2 linked regions of the Oryctolagus cuniculus genome follow. The protein of the gene in region 1 purifies or fractionates together with the protein of each later gene. This does not show direct contact. Links are inferred from orthologs where the notes say so. Each region holds a gene or a part of one and is shown on either strand. Other genes may lie near its edges.

What was found.
Region 2: the proteins of CNOT10 (region 1) and CAPZB purify together in Homo sapiens (co-immunoprecipitation; 3 studies listed by BioGRID and IntAct, with this or other methods). This does not show direct contact. The link is inferred for Oryctolagus cuniculus from reciprocal best matches to the Homo sapiens genes CNOT10 and CAPZB.

What each region holds. Positions count from the first base shown.
Region 1 is NC_091435.1:169,314,997-169,321,982, reverse strand, and holds the start of CNOT10 (CCR4-NOT transcription complex subunit 10), read right to left. Parts: upstream 3,763-6,986; 5' UTR 3,743-3,762; coding exon 3,472-3,742; intron 1-3,471. UniProt on the Homo sapiens protein: Component of the CCR4-NOT complex which is one of the major cellular mRNA deadenylases and is linked to various cellular processes including bulk mRNA degradation, miRNA-mediated repression, translational repression during translational initiation and general transcription regulation.
Region 2 is NC_091438.1:151,256,086-151,263,348, forward strand, and holds the end of CAPZB (F-actin-capping protein subunit beta), read left to right. Parts: intron 1-95; coding exon 96-161; intron 162-672; coding exon 673-749; intron 750-1,649; coding exon 1,650-1,752; 3' UTR 1,753-1,762; intron 1,763-3,931; coding exon of another isoform or gene 3,932-4,019; 3' UTR 4,020-4,732; downstream 4,733-7,263. Other genes in the region: SLC66A1 (lysosomal amino acid transporter 1 homolog), read right to left, coding at 7,229-7,263. UniProt on the Homo sapiens protein: F-actin-capping proteins bind in a Ca(2+)-independent manner to the fast growing ends of actin filaments (barbed end) thereby blocking the exchange of subunits at these ends.

The sequences.
Region 1 (6,986 bases):
GACAGTCAAGACGCACACTGGGATAGTCAAGACGTACACAGGGACAGTCAAGACGCACACAGGGACAGTCAAGACGCACACAGCCATCAACTCCGGGATGCTCTCTTTTTTACTTTACAGCTACACACACTTCCTCCCCTCCTCCTTACTCCTAGCTCCCACTAATTTGCTCTCCGCGTCAATAATCCTACCACTTCATATGGGCGCCGAGTTCCAGTCCCGGCTGCTCCTCTTCTTATCCAGCTCTCTGCTGTGGCCTGGGAAAGCAGTGGAGGATGGCCTAAGTCCTTGGGCCCCTGCACTCACGTGGGAGACCTGAATGGAGTTCTGGGCTTCTAGCTTTGGCCTGCCACAGCACCAGCTGTTATGGGTATTTGGGGAGCGAACCAGCAATGGAATATCAATCACTAGATCTCTCTCTGACACTCTTTCAAGTAGATGAAAGTAAACAAACATTAAAAAATTAAAAATAAAATTTTTAAATGCCAGCCCAAAACTAACATAAGGCAGATAAGCAGCTACCTTGAGGAAGCTAGCGGAGTCTGCTAAAGATCCAGTGGTGTGCTCAGAGTGTGAGAACCCACCAAACTGTAACACTTACAATCTTATCAGAGGGCTCTGACCCACTGCACTGGTTCATTCCCCAGATTCCCACAACAGATGCGGGAGAGGCTGGGCCAAGCAGAAGTCAGAAGCCAAGAACCCAATCCAGGTCTCCCACAGGGGTGACATCTGCTCCCACTAGGGTGCACATCCGGGGTCTGGAGAGGAGCCGGGCAAATCCAGGCATTCTGCTATGAGATACGAGGGTCCCAAGCAGTGTCTTAACTGCTAGGCCAAATGCCTGCCCCAGTCTGGGCATTTTTTGGTAACTGCCTAGAAACCCACATTCCAGGAGCATCTCGAAGAATCAGCGGTCAGAAGAGCTAACTAGGAACCGCTGGCCTAAGATGTGCCAGCAGCCAGCGGGGGTTCCCAGCCTTCCTCTTTCAAGAGCCAGTATGGTGTAAGGAAACGGGCACACGCCTTGGAACCTGTCACTCAGTCGGTACAGTCTATTCTTGGCCTGTCTTTAGCTGGAAACGCTAAATAACCACCAGCTCCCTTTCCCTCTGCCTCTGCCAGGACAACTAAGGCTTCCTATGGTTATTTTTTTAAATACACTTATGTCTGTACTTTAAACACACAAAGTGGGGGCCGGCGTTGTGCTTTGCTGCCTGCAACACCAGCACCCGTAAAGGCGTTAGTTCAGGTCCCGGCTGTTCTACTTCCGATCCAGCTTCCTTCTAACGTGCCTGGGAAAAGCAGCGGAGAATGGCTGAAGTGTTGGGGTCCCTGAACCCATGTGGGAGACCCAGAAGAAGGTCCTGGCTCCTGGCTTTGGACTGGCCCAGCTCTGGCTGGTGCGGCCATTTGGGCAGTGAACCAATGGAGGGAAGGTCTTTCTCTCTCCATCTTTCTCTTTGTAACTGACTTTTAAATAAATAAATAAATCTTTAACCACACAAATTGACAATGAAGTTAATTTAGTGTAACTTGATTACAGACCGCCTTAGATTACTGTGAAATGTCTACACCCTTCTCAAATCACATTTATACTAACAATAATCTGCTTTTGAGAACCTATCAATCTAAGAACTTATCTGCCCTATAAGAAGGGCATTCTGTGAAATGTTACTTCTTTCTTTTTTAGAAAAGATTATTTGAAAGGCTGAGTTAGGGAGGGAGAGAAGAAGGGGGAGGGGAGGAGGAGAGAGCAAGAGAGCAAGATCTTCCATTGCTGGTTCACTCTCCAAATGGCCACAAAAGGGTAGCTTTTCCAGGTGCATGGGGTGGGGGGGAGCAGGATCAAAAGTGGGGCAGCCAGTACTCAAACCTACACTCATGTGGGATACTAGTGCTGTAAGTGGCTGCTTGACCAGTTCTGGCACAACACCAGTCCCAGAAATGTTAATTCTGATAAAGTTAGCAGATAAATCAGTGTTCATGGGGCCTGCACTGCGGAGCAATGGGTTTAAGCTTCCGCCAGCGATGCCAGCATCCTAAATGAGCAGCAGTTTCAAGACCTGTCTGCTGTATTTCCAATCCAATTCACTGCTAACGTGCTGGGAAAGGCAGCGGGTGACGGCCTGAGAGTTGGAATCCTGCAACCCACATGGGAGACCTGGATGGAGTTCCAGGCTCCTTGGCCATTTGGGCAGTGAACCAGCAGATGGAACATCTCTTTCTCTTTCTGTAACTCTTTCAGATAAATACATTAACTGAAAAAAAAAAAAAAAAAAAAAGGCAAGGTATAAGTTTTAGATCGAAGCAAAATCTCCCATTCCACAAATACTCACCATAAAATTTTAAACAACGAATTTAAAAATATTTCTTAGGGGTCAGCGTAGCTGTGGCGTAGCGGGTAAAGTTGCCACCTGCAGTGCCGGCATCCCAAATGGGCACAGGTTCGAGTCCCAGCTGTTCCAATTTGAATCCAGCTCTCTGCTGTGGCCTGGGAAAACAGTAGAAGATGGCCCAGGTCCTTGGGACCCTGCACCCATTTGGGAGACCCAGAAGAAGCTCCCGGCTCCCGGCTTTGGATTGGCGCAGCTCCAGGTGTTGCAGCCATCTGGGGAGTGAACCAGCGGATGCAAAACCTCTCTTTCCCTCTGCCTCTAGTTCTCTCTCTGTGTAATTCTGATTTTCAAGTAAATAAATAATTTTTTTTTATTTTTGACAGGCAGAGTGGACAGTGAGAGAGAGAGAGAGTCTTCCTTTTGCCGTTGGTTCACCCTCCAACAGCCACCGCAGCCAGCACGCTGCGGCCACCAGCACTTTGCTGATCCGAAGGCAGGAGCCAGGTGCTTCTCCTGGTCTCCCGTGGGGTGCAGGGCCCAAGCACTTGGGCCATCCTCCACTGCACTCCCTGGCCACAGCAGAGAGCTGGCCTGGAAGAGGGGCAACCGGGACAGAATCTGGCGCCCCAACCGGGACTAGAACCTGGTGTGCTGGCGCCACAGGCAGAGGATTAGCCTAGTGAGCCATGGCGCCGGCCTAAATAACTAAATCTTAAAAAAAAAAAATATTTCTTTGAGAGGCAGAGAGAGCTCTCATCCACTGGCTCACAACCAAAATGTTCACAACGCCCAGGGCTGGGCCAGGCTGAAGCCAGGAGCTGGGATCTCAACCCGGGTCTCCCATTTGGGCAGCAGGAATCCACGCACTTGAGCCAGCATCTGCTACTCCCAGAGTGTGCCTCAGCAGGAAGCTGGGTCAGCAGCAGCCGGGACGTGAACCCAGGCACTCCAGTGAGGGATGTGGGCTTCCGGGTGGCATCCCAACCACCACGCTAAACAGCCACCCAAGATAAAAATTATGTTTGCTTATCTATGCTTCTCAAGTTTTTTTTTTTTTTAAGAGTATTCATTTTTGTAGTCAGTTTTAGAATGTTTTTTCAATGTCCATTATTTGTAACTGCTCACTTCTTACCAGACAGAGACTGCACATAATTCCACAGCGTGTCTTTATCTGTCCAAAAGTAGTCTCCATTGCCAATGGACAGAGTATACGACCGCTCATCCATAAGCTTGACCTTCCTTCTGCTCTGGCCTAAGGAGCACGGCTGACCTTCTAGGCGAACAGAGCTCTTTGACCCACAAGCCTTGACATTCTTTAAGCCAACGGACTTCATTTCTAACCAAATAATTGCTTTTTGGTTTGAACTAAGTAGAAAAGATATGTACTGCTTTTTCAAAACCATAAAAAGTCAGTTAACGGAAAGAACAGACACATTCCAGCACAGAATGTTAACCACTCAAATCTGATTGGAGGATGACTACTAGCTATAGCTCCAATGATGTTCAAGAAAAGAAAGACGTTTCCAAAGAAATGAGGAAACTGAAAGGCCTGAGGAGGATGCCTGGCCTCACGGTTGAGACTCCCATGTCTCACACGGAGCATCTAGCTTTGATCCCCAGCTCCTGAGTCCAGCTTCCTGTCCTGGGAGGCCGCAGCCACAGCTCAGTGACTGGGAACTGCCACCCAAATGGGAGATGTGGATTGAGTTTCTGACTCCAAGTTTTGGCTACAGCCCAGTACTGGCTCTTGTGGACATCTGGGAAGAGAACCAGCACATGGGAGCTCTCTTTCTAGAAAAAAAGAAAAAGGTTACCACTTCAAAAAATAAAAAATAAAAAAAATCAATTCAGGTTCACTAAAGTCACCATATAGCTAAGGTTAAGACACTTCAAATGTGGTTTCTATCATCTAAACAAGTATTTCTGACTTAACAAAACCCCACATATACTAATTTCAAAGCCAGTATTGGGGCCGGTGCTGTGGCGTAGCGGGTAAAGCCGCCACTTGCAGTGCCAGCATCCTATATGGGCACCGGTTTGTATCCCAGCTGCTCCACTTCCGATCCAGCTCTCTGCTGTGACCTGGGAAAGCAGTGGAGGATGGCCCAAGTCCTTGGGCCCCTGCACCCGCATGGGAGACCCGGAGGAAGTTCCTGGCTCCTGGCTTCAGATTGGTGCAGCTCTGGCCATTGCGGCCATTTGGGAAGTGAACCAGCAGATGGAGGGCCTCTCTCTCTCTCTCGGCCTCTCCTGCTTTGTATAACTCTGACTTTAAAATAAATAAATGAGTAAATCCTTAAAAAAAAAAAAAGCCAGCCTTGTGGTGTAGCAGGTTAAGCTCCTGCCTGCGATGCCGGCATCCCCTGCGGGCACCAGTTCCACACCTGGCTGCTCTGGCTCCATCCAATTCAGCTCCCTCCTGATGTGCCTGAGAAAACAGGGGAGAGTGGCAGTGCCTGTCACCCACATGGGAGACCCCGATGAGGCTCCTGGCTCCTGGCTTCAGCCTGGCCCAGCACTGGCTGTCATGGCCATTTGAGGAGTGAACCAGGAGATGGAAGCGCTCTCTCTTTTTTGGGTTCTCCCTCCCTCCCTCTCTCTCTCTAACTCTGATTCCAATAAGTAAATCATTTTTTATAAAGAAACTATAAAAAAGGACTAATTTCTACAAAGCTCCGAGAAGTAAAACACGACCAGTGAAGCCACGTTCTACAGTACAAGCAGTCACTAAAGCAGGTCCCCTCTACTTGAAGTTGGACAGAAGAGCTGGAGAACTGGCCCAGAGGATAAGCCAGTCATACCAGCAGCAGTGCCACAAACCGTAGCATCCTGCCAGTCACAGACCTCGAGTAACTAGGGTCAGCACGCTTGGAAGACAGGCAAAGCAGAACACTGCCACTGACAATGAGTATTCTTATCTTCCCATCTAAAAGCACTTTTTATGCATAGAAATATCTGAATTTTAGTCTAGTTGAAACATTGATACTTGAAATATTAAAGTCACAAATTCAAAAATCCTGGATATCCTTCAAACTTTCACATTCAACTTAGATATCTTATTCTATTTGAAGGTCTAATTTTGAAGGGTTGTTATAAATGTTTGAACTTTTAAAAAACCATTTGGCTTATTTGAAAGGCAGAGTTAGAGAGAGAGAGAGAGAGGGAGAGGGAGAGGGAGAGGGAGAGGGAGAGGGAGAGGGAGAGGGAGAGGGAAAGAGGGAAAGAGGGAGAGGGAGAGAGTATTTTCCATCTGCTGGTTCACTCCCCAAATGGTCACAACAGCTGGGGCTGGGCCAGGCAGAAGCCAAGAGCCCCAGACGACACGGGTGGCAGGGACCCACCTATTTAAGCCACCACTGCTGCCTCCCCGATGTGCATTAGCAGGAAGCTGGAATCAAAAGTGGCGCAGTATGTGGGTGTCCCAGATGGCAGCCTAACCGTGGCACCACAACGCCTGCCCAGAGAGCTGCTCTTCGCGGCAGAAGGCCTGCTAACAGATGCACACAGCAACAGAACCAGGGAGGTGCCCCTCTGCAATGCCCAGTCTCAAGTGGGGATGTCTGCACAATGCCTAATCGCTTCCCCAGAGAGTACTTCCAGTTGCCTGGAAAAAGATGCTCCTGTCAACCACCTTAACAAACCGACCAAATTTAGCATCACTAATAGTGGATAACCTGACTCCTACAAAGTGCTACACATCTAATAGCCCAAATAAATTTCAGTTTATGAAAATACAGGCGGTAAACAAACCAAGTAAAGGACGCCAGGAAGAAGCAGACACATCTGGAACCCTGGGATATTCTACCAGATAACTTGGTCTCTTCAAAAAGTCACTGCTGTCGGGAAATCAGAGTGGCCAGTGGAATTAAAGAGTCTCAAGAGACATATCAAAATATAATACTGTGGGGGGGGGGCGGGGGCAGGGTTGGACACCAGGCAGAGCCATTCAGCCACCGTTTGGGACACCCACATCCCACAGTAAAAAAGGCCTGGATTCAAGTCCTGGCTCTGCTTCCAGTTCCAGCTTCCTACTAATGCACACCCAGGGAGGCAGTGATGGTGATCCAAGCACTTGGGTCTCAGCCACCTACGTGGGAAAATCAGATGAGGTCTGGCTTCTCGTTTTGGACTGGCCCAACCCCACTTGCAGCAGGTATCTGGAGACTGAAGTTTTCGTTGTCTCTTTTTGCCTTTCAAATATGAAATGAAAAAACTATACATACATACACACACATATATAAACATATAATACATGGTTTGAAAAGTAAAGCCTTAAAGCACATTATTGGGACAATTGGCAAAATTTTAACATACTGAAACATCGACTGAAATATGACAGGAGGGGATTAAGAGGGTGGAGTACGGAGAGAGCTTACTGTTCTAGTCTAGAAGAAAGTTTAAAAAAAGCGGAGAGCGCAGTCTCAGGGAAGAGTTAGGGAGAAAACAGCAGACGGAGCTCTACACAAATTAGAGGGTCACCATGGACCTACGTGGAGGGTGTGGACACCCACACTCAGGACCTAGCAGCTGAGAGCCTGCACACCAGCCTGGGGGAGTGGGGTGAGACCAGACTGCAGCAGCCAAGTCGCTGGTGATAGAGCTGCAGGAGGAGCCTGGAGGGAATCCGGCTTGGAGCCCCTGGGGGAC
Region 2 (7,263 bases), on another chromosome or scaffold:
CAGCAGCTCTAGCAGCGGGCTCTGCTAGAGGTGGGGGCCACGCCGCCGCGCCCAGGGCTCTGGCTCTGACCGGGGGAATGTTCTGTCTTTCGCAGATGGAGAAAGATGAGACTGTGAGTGACTGCTCCCCACACATAGCCAACATCGGGCGCCTGGTAGAGGTGAGTGGGCCCCGCGGGCTCCGGGCTCCTGTGTTCCCCGCAGCCTGGGCCGTCTCCAGGGAGGCTGGGAGCCGCTTCGCCGGCGGCGCACAGCTTGTGTTTGCCTTGGCCTCCTGGCATCTCCCCCACGCCTGCGAGACGTGCTCCCGGGGTGACTGCCCAGCCCTTGGCTCCGCGCCGATCGAGTGGGTAGACCCCTGGAGCATTCAAGGGCTGGAGGGGCTCCCGCGCCAGTGCCGCAGGCTTCCTCCCTCTGGGAGGAGGGGTCTCAGGACTGCTCGCCGTATCGGCGGGAGGGCTGAGGGATGGTGTGGTTCTGACCAGCTCCAAGGAACGCTGGGACCTGGCCACCAGGCCTGAGGTCGGGGACACACTCAGAGCACAGAGGGCAGGGGCGGCCTTGCAGCCAGGGGCTTGGCCCTGGCTGTGTCCCCGTAGGGAGAGAGGCTGGGCTGGGCCAGGGCGGCCCTGGCTCCTTGGTTGCCTCCATGGTGACTGACTCCCTTCCCAGGACATGGAAAATAAAATCCGAAGTACGCTGAATGAGATCTACTTTGGGAAAACGAAGGACATCGTCAACGGGCTGAGGTAACGTACCCAGAACTCACACTCCAGAACCAGGAGGGCCTGCGCGCTCACAGCTCCGCGGGCTCGGGCTTCGGCCTCCTCGTTGTAAGAGGGAGCTGGGGGCCGAGATGCCCCGCAGGTGTTGGAAGGGAAGCCCTGGGCGGCCTTCGTGCTCTGAACGCCCTCACAGCCGACTCCACGTGGGACGGAGCTCCTGCGCCCGCCCCTCGGGCTGCCTCCACTCCGTCCCCAGCTGCGCAGCCCCCTTAGGCCCTGCGAGGGCGAGAGACCACTGAGCTCTGGGCGGACAGAGCCAGAGCCGAGGTCCTCACCTGCCCCTCCCACCCTGCTCGGGTCCTTGGGGTCCGTAGAGGACTGAGCAGGAGGCAGAGCCTGCATGGGGGCATGAGAGGTGGCTGTCAGTGCAGCGAGCTGGCCTTGCAGCCCAGAGGCTGCGTCTCCTCCGAGCCCTGTTCCCCACCGGGTCCAGGAGGCAGGGGGCTGCACGGGGGGTGAGATGCTGAGGTCTGACGTGTTCTCCACCGTGTGTGGCCAAGGGCTCTGCTGTGCCGTTGCTGGCCACCCCCCTTGTCCCTATCCAGTGGTCCCAGGCCAGCTGAGCCACTGCGGAGCCGCCCACGGTGGGTCTGTCTGGGACACAGGTTCCAGCCAGCTGCCCTCTGGTTCCCCTTGGCCCTTCTCATCCTGACTTCCTGGGCCAGAGCCCAGAGACCCCAGCGTCGGGCCCTCCGCCTCCGACCAGACCCTCTCCCACCCCGCCAACCCTCTCCTCCAGCGGCGGTGGTGCCTGCGCTCACCGGCAGCGGGGACGCCACGCAGTCACCGTCTCGGGCTGGCAGCCTCCGGGTGCACCCAGCCCCCACGCCCTGCCTGCTTCTCACCTCTGAACGCTCTCTGTAGATCTATTGACGCTATCCCTGACAACCAAAAGTTTAAGCAGCTGCAGAGGGAGCTTTCCCAAGTGCTGACCCAGCGCCAGATCTACATCCAGCCTGATAATTGAGCCGATCCAGGTACCCTGCCTGCCAGGCGTGACAGCTGCCCACTAAACAGCACTCACCAACCGCCGGGCCCTGCGCGCCCAGTTAAACCTCCACTAACCCCCGTGCGCTCTTGGCTGCTGGGCGGCCGTATAACATGTTGCCTTGGCCCGCGTAACGGACACGTTCACGTGTGTGGTGTGTGCTGTGCACTGAGCGAGGTCCCGGGGAGACGGGTGGTTTCAGCTTTGGCTCCAGAAGGAGCCCAGGCCAGGGAACTAACGCGGGCTCTGTCGGAGGCCGCTGTGTGCACGCACAGCTGCCCTCTGCTCCCCACATGCCTCGGGGTGGCCTTAGGATCTCCCCCGCAGCCACACACACCCTGCCCCGTGGCACAGGGACTGAGGCAGCTGGCTCGGGGGACCCCACTCTCCGAGGCTCAGGACAAGCGTGGGGGGAGCCGTCGTGCCCCTGACCAGATGCTGCTGCTCCAGACCGGCTGCTGCTGGAGCGGCCTGGTGCCGGGGCCGTGCCGATGGCGGAGCTGGAGCCTGTGCCGGGGCCGTGCCGATGGCGGAGCTGGAGCCTGTGCCGGGGCCGTGCCGATGGCGGAGCTGGAGCCTGTGACAGACACGGACGGATGAGGGCGCTCGGCGCTCTTGCGGAGGGCGGGGGCTGTTAGAATGAGGCGTTTGGTGACCCAGCCAGCAGGGCCGCCGAGCCCCCAGGCACAGGGTCCGAGGCCCGAGGCCCAGCCCAGAAGAGCTGCTGGGAAGTCTGGGGGTGGCGGTGCTTACTAAGCAGCCGGGGCTGCCGCCCTTGCACGGTTGCGGGATCTCACGGCCAGGGCGTCTCAGCCGCCAGCCTCGCCTTGCGGCGCTCGGGCAGCCAGCAGGGGCCGTGGTCTTCCTATGTGGAGTGCGGCCGTGACCCTCCCAGTGACGGCCCTGCTCCTTCGGCCTCCAGCTGCTCCAAGCTCACGTCCACAGCTCTAACCTGGTTCTGACTCTGGGCTTGGTCCTTGCGGGGCGGGGCTGGCAGGACCCAGCGCCGCGTCCTGTCTCCCCAGGAGAGCCAGCTGTGCCGGGCGAGGGAGCCGCTGCTCTCTGGTCACGCCCTCCGACGTGAGCTCAGTGAGGCCCGCAGAGCACTGCCCACGACTGGGCGCCTGGGAGCCACCACCCTGCCTTTGGCCGCTGCAGAACTCGGGGCAAAATCTGCCTCAGCTGGCGTTTCCCACGGGCGCTCCTCGGCCTGTGCTGACGGCTCGAGTCCTGTCTGTGCCCACTCTGGCGTCTCCAGGACTCGGTCCCCAAAATCCAGTCTCCTGGGCCCTGCTTCGCTCTGCTCTCCCCAGCACGCACACGTGGCGGGGACACCTGACCCTTCCTTTCCATGGTTTGCGTGGGTCTGACGTCAGACCTGAGGCTCTCACCGCACGGCCAGCCCAGCGTGGCGCCCAGCGGCCCCTGCACTGAGAAAGTTAGCCAGCCACTTTGCGCCTGGCCGGCCGTCTGTCCAGTGCGTGTGACAGGTCAGGGCCGTGCCGGGGGCGTTTCTCCAAGCTCCAGTTGCTCATCTGGGATGCGTGTGGGGGAGAGCACTCAGGTGGGTGACGCCCACGAACTGCAGCGTTCCCAGTCCCTTTAACCCCACCCCACCCCGCAAGCCTGGGGTTCGCCAGCGGGGGCCCAGGCCACCCTTTCCTCTGCCGCATTTGGAATCCTGGCAAGGTTTTTTCCGGGCCAAGCTGACAGCTGCTCACGGGCCGTGAACCCAGCATGCGCCACCGTGCAGCCGCTGGTTTCCGGAACACTCGCCAGGCGGCAGCCCCTGCCCCCTGTTCTCCGCAGGGCCGGGGCCGAGCCTCCTCCTGGGCCCCTCCTAGTCCCAGCAGCTGATTGGAAGCGGGGTCCTTGCTACGTTGTGCCTGGAAGCCTGGAGGCCACCATTGGGTTCCGCTAGCTGCGGTCATGGTCAGCCTGGCAGACACGAGCAACTGTCCCTGTTGGCTTCCCCTGAGCCGCGCCCCCTGCAGCAAATCCCAGGCTCCCGGTCCCCAGGCTGGGCCTGTGCTGACCTGGGAGAGGGGTGCCCGAGCCCACACCCCAGCACCTTGCCGGCCACGTCGGGGAGGCGCGAGCCCCACGGCCCCGTGCTCCTGCCACTCGGCCCGCTGTTGACGCCTTGTCTCCCTTGCAGGTCTGTGCAGACTTTTGCAGACAAATCTAAACAAGAAGCGCTTAAGAACGACCTGGTGGAGGCTTTGAAGAGAAAGCAGCAGAGCTAAGCCCCTGCTCCGCGCTAGCCGGACACGCCGCGCACTCTTTAGGTTCCTTTCCTAGAAAACTCGTTTTCTGCTCCCTGTCCCCGGCCCCTCCCTCCCCGACAGGCCCCTAACAACGCGCATCCTCGACCGCACAGCGCCATCTCCCCAATAAAGCCCAGTCACCGCCCTGCTCCGGCTCCGAGGCCTGCTTCCCACCGTTCCGCTGTCAGAACTCTGGTGTCTGCATAGAGCCCGCGAGGGCCCGGTCCGCCCCGCCCGCCCCCCCCTTAGGCATAAAGACGCTGTCCGTCAGCCCCTCCCCTCCCCCTTTTTGTTACATTGGTGTAAAAAATGTAAAACAAAAAAATTTTATGAAATAACTGTGGTGTGTGAGAGACAGAAGGAAACCTGGAGGTGCGACTCCAGTGCGTTTGGGAGTTGCTTGGGCGGGGGGCGGGGGACAGGGGCCAGCCCTGGGCGGAAGGAGAGGGGCTCAGCCGTCCTGTGCAGGCTTGCCCCTGTCCCTCGGAGGCCGCGGGGTGGGGGCGGGGCTGCTCTTCTGGCCAGGTGCTTTTCTGTCAATTTTTACGGAATGCAAAAGGAGTTTTTTGTTTTATTTTGTTTTTTTGTAAAGCTTAACAAAAAATATCTACATCTTATACTTGAGCCTCCATACTTAAAAAAAGGAAAAAAAGAACAAAAAAATTAAATAAAAAGAAACTGGGACGCAGTTAGCACTGGGTCTGCCGTCTTCTTTCTCGCACGCCTCCCTCGAAGGCCCGCGTGGCCTCAGCCGGGAGGGGGAGGGCTGACTCCACGGTGGAGACGCCCCGGCCGCTGAGCAGGTGCGGGGCTTGCCGGGGAGTGGGTTCCGGAGCCCTGGGCCTCCTTGCGCCCCGCCTTCCAGACCAGCCTGGTAGGGAAACGCGGGGCGGCTGTGGAGCGCCTGCGCAGGCCGGTCCTTGGGCACCCCCGTGCCTCCCCAGCCAGGTGCCGGCACGCCCCTTTCAAGTGGGAGAGTGGGAGGAAGCAGGCTGTGGGCTTGGGGAACCCGCAGAGCTACAGGATGGGCCTTTCTCCCCCCCCACAAACCCCAGGCCAGAAGGTCCTCGCCTGCTGCCCACAAGACCCTACCCCCACCCCGAGTGCAACACAGCACAGCACACGGGAGCTGGAACCACAGAGCCCTGCACTCGCGTCCTCTCCACCCTGGGGGGTTCCAGCAGCTCTTGCCACACAAGCGGAACAGATGGGCGACTGAGACGCTGCGATGCTGGCCTCGCTCTGGTCACCGCTGTGCACCGCACTGTGCCGAGGGCCTGTCGCTCACCTTTGTCAGGTGGCCAGAAGTCATACGTGAAACCTGGAAGTCGCAGCTGTGCTGTGCCAGGCTGGATCTTGCTCTGTCTTCTGGAATCTTCTGCAGGAGCCACCACTGCTAGTTTGGATGCTAGTGACTGGGGCTCTGATACTGGGTTTGCTGGATGGGAGGGAGTGAGTGGGGAGCCGTGGCCTGGCCAGTCCCTGCCCTACACACTCCCAGGCATGCTGGCTGGCAGGGCCCCTAGAGCATTCCAAGATATGGAGGGAGAGGCTGAGTACATGGCAGAGCAGTGGGGTGGGGGTGGAGTGGCCTGTGGTCTGTGGGCTGCAGGCGATGCGCTCCTGGGGTGGGCAGCTCGTCCCCCACCTCGCAGGTGCCCCTGGATGCCAGGTAGCAGAATGGGAGGCAGCCTGGGGGCGGGGGGCTCTGTGGGAGCCCAGCAGGCACCATGGGGCCAGAGCACTGCTGGCAGATGGCACAATCCGGGGCTCTGTCTCCCCGGCCCCTTTCACTGCCCACCTACCTCTGGGGTCCTCCCTGGCTTCCGCTGGACCCAGCTCCCAGAACCCTGTCTCCCGATCCCCGGCCGACCTCTGCCCTGTGCGGTGGGGCGGGCACTGTGGAGTAGTGCCAGCCTGCCGCCTCGGTGCAGTGACCCCAGCCGGGCCCGTGAAGATGCACTCCGGCCGGTCACAGCGGCCGAGCTCTCTTCCTCCTGCGAGCTTCCTCCACGCTGGCTAGCGTGTGGGGAACCTGGCGTCCCCCTGCCCATAACCTGCAAACCCTATAAAGGCTGGAAGATGAACCCTGGCCAGCCCCGGCCAAAGCCAGGTAGGCAGGGGGCTGGGAGCTGCCCCACCCGCTCCACCACCCCTCACTGCTCTCAGCTTTGTGCCCCGCAGGGCCCTCCTGCCCGCGAGGGAGTTCCCAGGAAGGCCCTGGCCCCCGCCTGCAGCAGGCAGTCTGTTGGGGCCCAAGAACAGTTCAGGGCCGAGCCCTGCCCCCGCTGCCCCCTCCCCCTGTAGGTCCCACCCATCCTGCTGGCCGCCACCTTCTCCAGGAAGGTCTCCCTGGTTGTCTCTTCAGCTTTGGAGCTCAGCCCCGGTGGCTGCGCCTCTGTGGGGTGGGGAATCTTTTTTTCTGCCAAGGGCCATTTGGATATTTAGAACATCCTCCGCGGGCTGTACGAACTGAACTTAGAAGGTAGCTGCTATTGATTTATTGGATTCCGAGCCCTGTCTGCGGTTCTCTTGGCAGGGCCAGACCACTAGACCCTGCGGGCCTGACGGGACCCCGGGGCCGTTTTCAGGTCGTCTGACGCTGCGGTACCGTCACCCCATTTCACAGATGAGGTAACGGGCACCCAGATGCAGGACCAAGGGTGGACCTTGACTGCCCTGCTCTTGCTGAACACCGAGCAGCAGCTGCCCCCACCCCAGCCCCCTCGTGCCGCTGCGTCCCCAGCACCCAGGGTGGGGCCTGCCACGGAGCCGGCCCAGAGCAGCAGTCTACAGACACCTCGACGGGACGCCCCCAGCGGCCCAGAGCAGCCTACAGACAGGACGCCCCCTAGCGGCTCCCAGGCAGCCGGGCCCGCGCACCCAGGGACTGAGAGGCCAGCCAGGGGCCCCCAGGGGGCGCTCAGGCACCATGAGGTAGGTGGGTGTGAGGGCAGCCCCGCCCCCAAGGCTCCCAGGGACGGCAGCCTTCGCCCTGGGAGGCCGGGGCTCGGTGGAGGGGCAGCTGGGCCACGGGACAGCAGCAGTGCCCACACCCCTCCCTGCCTGGGCGTGGCACGTGGAGGGCTCCGCCTCCCTGCCTGGGCGTGGCACGTGGCGGGCTCCGCCTCCCTGCCTGGGCGTGGCACGCGGAGGGCTCCCTCATCCCGGGCTCAGCCGGGGGCTGCTCAGCTAGGGAGCAGGGGCTCGCGCTCCGCGGCGG